Xenopus tropicalis: one gene and its partner. The protein of the gene in region 2 purifies or fractionates together with the protein of the main gene of each other region. This does not show direct contact. Links are inferred from orthologs where the notes say so. Each region holds a gene or a part of one and is shown on either strand. Other genes may lie near its edges.

Evidence for each region. Proteins that work in one complex are often made in the same cells at the same time.
Region 1: the proteins of sem1 (region 2) and rad23b purify together in Homo sapiens (co-immunoprecipitation; 3 studies listed by BioGRID and IntAct, with this or other methods). This does not show direct contact. The link is inferred for Xenopus tropicalis from reciprocal best matches to the Homo sapiens genes SEM1 and RAD23B.

What each region holds. Positions count from the first base shown.
Region 1 is NC_030677.2:120,684,381-120,688,133, reverse strand, and holds the start of rad23b (UV excision repair protein RAD23 homolog B), read right to left. Parts: upstream 2,221-3,753; 5' UTR 1,948-2,220; coding exon 1,882-1,947; intron 1-1,881. UniProt on the Homo sapiens protein: Multiubiquitin chain receptor involved in modulation of proteasomal degradation. Binds to polyubiquitin chains.
Region 2 is NC_030682.2:33,752,670-33,756,422, forward strand, and holds the start of sem1 (26S proteasome complex subunit SEM1), read right to left. Parts: upstream 2,681-3,753; 5' UTR 2,678-2,680; coding exon 2,599-2,677; intron 1,131-2,598; coding exon 1,037-1,130; intron 1-1,036. UniProt on the Homo sapiens protein: Component of the 26S proteasome, a multiprotein complex involved in the ATP-dependent degradation of ubiquitinated proteins.

The DNA of each region.
Region 1 (3,753 bases), on a different chromosome or scaffold from region 2:
TGAATGAATGAGACATGTGCAGAATATATTTCTTGTTTTTTTCTTATTTTAATAAAATTTATATACATATATATATATACATATATATAGCGAACCCAGGGTGGCACTCTGCTTCAGCTCTTAGCTCGGGTGCAAGGTAAATGATTTAAATATCCAAAAAAGACCAGCAACACCGAGTTGTTATATTCCAAAAACAATCAATTGTGTATTAAAAACACATGAACAGCCAACGTTACGTTTCGGTCCCCATCGGGGCCTTGAGAAAGGTCCCGATGGGGACCGAAACGTAACGTTGGCTGTTCATGTGTTTTTAATACACAATTGATTGTTTTTGGAATATAACTCGGTGTTGCTGGTCTTTTTTGGATATATATATATATATATATATATATATACACATACATATATAATTTGTTGGCTGGTTGGTTCCTGGCAAGTACATCAATAGATTAACAGAGAAAACCATTCATATGACATTACATTTAACAGAGAGACTGTAACAGATAAGGAGGCTTGTTTCAGGCAATGTACACAGATGCACTGTACTTATAAACTATAAATATATAAAATCTAAACCTCTAATGCAGTTAGTTTCATACTTTCTTTGGTTCAAGTATGCCTTTGAGGCACAAAAGTTAGGATGCTTATCAAAAATCTTACTCGAATACCATTTAATTGGACTTTTGTATTCTTTATTAAAGTAAAAACTAATGCTCACCACATTACCTGGTCTTCAGGCAGGACCTCACATTCATTACTCTGGGATCCCCAAGGAGGGCCAGCCCAGTTTGAGGACCACTACTCCACTATACCAAAAAATAAAGAGCGCTTATCGGCCAATGACATGCAACACCTGTTGCAGATGGGCAAATGTTTTTGGAAAGCACTGTGCATGATATTAAGCTTGTGTTAAAAATGGTATTGTCATGAAAGAGGGTAATTATGTGCTGACAGTATCCCTTAAACATTGTCACTTTAATTCCAAAGGAAGAGGTGGTGACAAGAGACCCTCTGGGGATCCTAAATAATAATTTCAACAAATGTGTACAGTCTGTAGTGAGTTTAAGGGAGCCTGCAAAATAGGTTTGTTCTGTTACAACCATTTCTGGCATGTCTCAAAAAAATGACTGTACCCCTGCTACATATTTGAGAGGGGCTTAATGTCTTGCTTCTTTAATGTCTGCATACTTACCAACATGTTTCCAGCATTATGGGAATACATCATTATTGTGTGGTATGTTATATGCATTGTGCATCCCCTTGAAATGTATAAATACACACACACACACACATGTATATTATATACAAGACACTATAAATCGATCAGGGCCGATATTCAAAAATATGAATATCCAAAATGCACAACACTGACTTTATTTACTGCATAAAATGCCAGTTGTGCACTAATACTACTCCCACCACATTCATTAATAAACTGCTTTATGACCCCCTGCCAACTACATGACTACTCTAGCCACAAAGGAAGCTGGGAACGCAGGACATGCAATCCCTCAGATCGATAATGCAAACTCATCCAGCGCCCATAAACAACAGAGAGCAGCTTTGCCCCGGGCACCACGTGACTGTGGCGCCCCCCCTTCCCCAGCCAGGGTCACGTGCCCGGTATCTGCCTGTAAGGCGAGCTAGGGAGAAAGCTCCCACATTAGCGCGCCCCCTACCCACGTCCCAACTACTAGTTCGCGCAGGATACCCCAAAATAGACAAAGATTTCTCTAGCGCTCCTGCACGTTGATAAAGCCCTCTTGGCCAGTGTAAAAACAACCCCACCCCCCCGTTTTATGAGCAGCTGTTGTGCGACATTCAAATACTGTGTGCAAGGCCCCATAATGCTTAGTGGAACCCTGAGGCTGCAGACTTTACCGTCTCCTCTCCGTCGATGTCTATCTTAAATGTTTGCTGCTGAAGGGTCTTCAGAGTGATCTGCATGGCTGCTGTCGTATGCTGTCCCCAGCTCCGGCCTGATGTTCAGCCTGCTGCAGTGTGATAGAAGGCGCACTCCCCTCTCTAGACACGCAGTATATCCGACTCGGAGACGCTTTATCCGTGTTGGAAGTAAAGAAGACTCCTCCCCGTTACTCTTCTACAGTCCGCCGATCGCTAAATGTACGGCTATGAAGTACAGTGTCCAGCGCTTATTTCGCTGTCTCATTAGTACGGCCTGTCCGCCGCCATCGTGACTCCGCTGACTGGAGACGCGCGAGACTAGGAACTTGCGCGCCTGCGCCAGGGGGCGGGGCTACGGTGCGGCCGAGTGGGTGGGGCGTGCGGCTCTCAATGACAGCCATGAGCTGTCACTTCGTGCGGTGATGTCACTGCGCGTTCTGCGTTCAGGATTTTTTCTATTAGTAGAACTCGTTCCGGCCTCTAAGCTTACTAGGCAAATTGTGTCATGTCACTCACACACTGTGTGCACAGCATGAATCAGCAGTGAAGGAGCAGCGACTTACCGTAAGGTCGCAAACACCCAGACTTGTGTTACAAGGGCTGGGTAAAACAATGTTATTGATAAGGGTAACTAATAAAGAGAATATATCATAAATTAGAACATGTCATTACCTCCAGAGAGAGGTATTAGCAGAAACTGGTTTTGTGTTTCAATTTAACTCCAGATGAATGCAAATTTAAAGGAGACATATCCTATAAAAATGAAGAATGTACCAGGGAATTATACTCCTCTAGATATAGAAGGATTGTGCTTAAAAAAGTAGTGTTTCAGACTGATTTATTGAGAAATTCCACAAAACTCCCACTAACCCCGCCCATCTGTTCCACTTCTTGCTGGCTGAATTCTCTGGATGAGCCTTGGGGCCCTCAGTACCCTGCACTGTAGGATAGGAACCAATCAGCAACTAGGCTGACCTGATAGGGAACTGAAGTCTGTCTGTGCTTGTGTGAGTGCAGGGCTGTGATTGGCTCTCCCCCTCCTACTGTACTTCTGGCAGGGACCGTTAGGACACGCCCACTCTTCATTTCAAACTCAAACAGAGAAGTATGAAAAGTAAAATACTGAAACATGACCAGAAATTGATATATCTGCTTCCTAAACCTGTAGATGCAAAATAAGGATGTTATAAAAAGGTATGTGCTAGATTTTTATTTTTGTAATATGATAGAACCGGCACAGCATGCCTTGATGCTAGTTTTATTTCATGTAATACTGGAATTTAGGTAATGTGCTGACCCCATAATACCCAGCACCAGGACTGGACTGGGATTCAAAATAGACCCTTTCATTTCAAGTACATAGAGGCCCAAACAGCCCCCCCACCAGCACATTAAACCATTTATTAAACCACAATTTTTTTTTCAGAAAAATTCATATTTCTTCGAATTTTTAGAACTTTTCAGAATGACCACAATAATATTGTTAAAATAGTACGACTTTTTCATGGTTTTCAATAACTTCCACGAAAAAGTCGTATTTTTTGGAAAGACTGCGACCTTTTCGGAATTCATTCAATCTTCGGTATGGTGACTTTCTTTTGGCCAGGCTCATACCTCCCAACATTTGAAAACTGAAAAGAGAGGCAAAAAGATTTGGCACGCACAGCGCGGCAAATTTTTTTGACCATGCCCACTTTTGTGGCCACGCCCCAATTAACACACCCCATTTTTTTCTAAAAATACTCCTTTTATATAGTTGAAATGGCGGGATCAGATGCAAATGTGCTATACCCTCATACTGTACTACCTAAGGAAAACAAAATAGCAACTCCTACATATAAAATACAA
Region 2 (3,753 bases):
GCTCCGACCACACCGAGCATGTGCACTGTGTCAGACAGTTCCAGGGTAGGGATAACAGAATCCAAGATGGGGAGCACCTGTGACAACTGTAATGACCTATATCATTACTACTATAGAGATGCTGAAATTTTAATCCAGTCCAGTCATTTATAATATAAACTATGGCATTTCTAGCCGTATTCATTTTTAGGGTTTAGTGCTCCTTTAAGGAGAAATTCAGAATTGTTTTTTTTCTAGTTTAAATGAATTTGCTGCAGGTCTCCACGTACTATTTCTGAGCACATGGACCTGCATCTCCCCCAACTTAATGGGGCAGAAGGGGCAATGAATATGTGCCTCTTGCACCCTAACTGGCACAAAATTGACATGCAGACAGGCTCTCAGCAAACAGCCCCCTACAGTGCCAGCCCTCTGGAGCCTGGGAATTATTCCTGTGTATACACAAACAAACAGACAAGTCTGACTTTTAGAAATGAAATTGGATAGCAAGTCCCTCCACCCAGCTAGCTCATTTTGAATATTATACAAAGAATATCCATAAGAACCTATTTGCTTAAAGGAGAAAGAAAGGTAAAAACTAAGTAAGCTTTATCAGAAAGGTCTATGTAACTACAGCCATAAGCACTCACAGAAACGCTGCACTGACTTCTGTCAAAAGATTTCTTGTGTCTGTAATTCATGTGCTAGAGACACGCAGCTCTCTCCTGCTCCCCCTCCCTCAAGAATGCTAAAAACACACTCCCCCCTTAGGAATGTGGATCTGAGCCAATCAGCAGGAAGCTGACTCATAGTCTAACTAACTGAGCATGTTCACTTGGTCTGGGTGTCGGTGCAGGAGTGAGGCATTATGGGAACTTTCTTTACACAGCTCGGCATTTTTTCTTCCTGTTTGGCTTCTGATCATCTGAACGGGAGAAATATGGGGAGACTTAAGGGCACTATTGAGAGAACTGAAGGTATGCCTGCAGCTTGAGATTAACTCTATATTAGCCTTCCCTTCTCCATTAACATTGCTGTATATATTACTAGCCATTACCTTAACTGATTTGAAAAATCATCTTCTACATTGTCATCATCCCAGTTATCCTCCCAGACATGTGTATCTTCATCTTCATCTAATCCCGTCCAGTCTACGAGGCAAAAGAAACATTAAATTTAAACTGAAAGTTATAAAAATCCTGTGTATGTAAGATGTTTTGTTAAAAGCCACTCTCTTTCAGTGCAAGTATCCAGAGTGCTACACTATGGGCATGAGAGTACATCAGTTATATTTGTTACTTTTACTCCTAGAATTAGGATAAGTGTAACTACACAGACCTCCACCAACCAATATAACAATATGCACAAGTTCTGTTCCCCCAACCTTTTTCACTTTTTAAACCACATAAGCATGAAAAAATTTCCCCACATGGCCTGCTAGCAGCAGGAGGCTCTGCTTTGAGTAAAACTGTCTCTGTGCTTTCAAAGCTTGTCTTCAAGGCCAGAAATATAAAAAGAATCACCTACTTTGAAGACACTGGAAGCAACATCAAAAGGGGTTGGGAGCAACATGTTGCGCACAAGCCACTGGTTGGGGATCACTGGTTTAGAATCATAAATGAACCAACAACTCCCTCAGTTTTGAGCTGACACATCAGGGTACCAGGAAACCTCCCAGGTGTCAGTGGGCCCTCCTGCTTACCCAGCCATTTGGCCTGGTATGCCTATGTCATTAACCATTTCTCTATGAGAAAAAACGGTGTATGCCCAGATTTCTCCTGTACATTACAGTATGCACAGAACCCTGGAGCAGAACTCTGCAGCACAGGACACACACACACAGAACCCTGCGACTCAGGACACACACACACAGAACCCTGCGACCCAGGACACACACACACAGAACCCTGCGACTCAGGACACACACACACAACCCTGCGACTCAGGACACACACACACAGAACCCTGCGACTCAGGACACACACACACAGAACCCTGCGACTCAGGACACACACACACAGAACCCTGCGACTCAGGACACACACACACAGAACCCTGCGACTCAGGACACACACACACAGAACCCTGCGACTCAGGACACACACACACAGAACCCTGCGACTCAGGACACACACACACAGAACCCTGCGACTCAGGACACACACACACAGAACCCTGCGACTCAGGACACACACACACAACCAAGCCTGCGACTCAGGACACACACACAGAAGCCTGCGACTCAGGACACACACACAGAAGCCTGCGACTGAGGACACACACACAGAAGCCTGCGACTGAGGACACACACACAGAAGCCTGCGACTCAGGACACACACACAGAACCTTGCGACTGAGGACACACAGAGCCCAGCCGAGGAGACACACACACACAAACACACAACCCTATGGCTAAACAGACCCTGACAAACAGTGCTAACTCCACATCCCGAGAGCGGTAGGTGCGGCTGTACAAAAGGCCGGGCACCAGGCTATAATGTAGGTACCGCAGTATAGAAGCACAGAGTGAATGGCACACATGATATTGACGCTACTATACATGAGCGAACCCTGAGTCATGCCAGGCCGCTCGCACGTCCCTCTCCAGTCCGTATATACCTTCGGCGGGAAATTCTTCGAACTCATCGTCTTCTTCCAGAAGACCCAAATCAACAGGTGCCTTCTTATCAGACGACATTCTCAGAAAGCGATACAGAAATCAAAAAAATATACTTATTCCTATCAACAAATCTAACTCCGTAACAACCGGAACCGGAAGATACCGCGCGCATGCCCTCTTATGGATTCACGCATGCGCATTAGGGGGCGAAGCGTTCCACTTTGGCTGCGGTTCTGCGCATGCGTGAATTGGTTAGCATTCCTGGCCGTAATATCAGAGAGCGTTACTAATAACCTGTAAAGTGAACTTCATGTGTATCTATACATTATTATATATATATTATATTGCTAAACAAGTCACGTTTTTCTAAACGAGAGAATGTTATTGCTGTGCCGCTGTTAACGCCAGAGTTACCAAGACTGAGCGATTGTTGGAATCATGTCAACTAAACCCCAATCATTAAGTGGATCTATTTCTGGATATTTTGTATAATCTTATTCCTCTTTTCTCTGAATTAAATCATTAAGATCTCAAAAGTGGATCATTATGATAATGCAAAAACGTAAAATTTTTAAAAAACTTTGGGGCATTTCTAGAAAATCCATCCAAAAGGGCTGCACAGCAGTCAATGCAACCCTGCATCATGCATTTATTAGATGTATCCTTGAATTTTCAAATGATCTGGTACCCTTGTTTCTAATGGTCCTATTTTGTATCCCCTCTCATCAGGGCACACGCTGTAAGAGCCTGGTCACCTGCTCTCTATAATTTGCACCTTAATGTAAACAAACCTTCACCTTTGAAAAACATTGAAAATGCACCAAAATATCTTCAGAAACTGTCAGCATCCTAGCTAGCAGCCGTTGTAGGGCAATTTTGCCATGGAGGAGGGGAGTGGGGGGTGGTAGGGTCAGGATTCATGAAACCATTGGGTTGTCTGCCAAAAAACATGGAGTTAGTACATATTTATTATTTCAGTATATTTACCTGACTTTGTCAAAACCCCAGTACCCAGTTTTGAAAGTACAGTGCTTGGCTGGTGGCCATTGTGGCCTGCAGATCTACTCTCTAGTAATGAGTAAAAATGTGAGTAGTGCTGGTCTGTCATTTCCTGGCTGTGGCCTATTCATTTTGCATAGCAGTTCCACATTCAC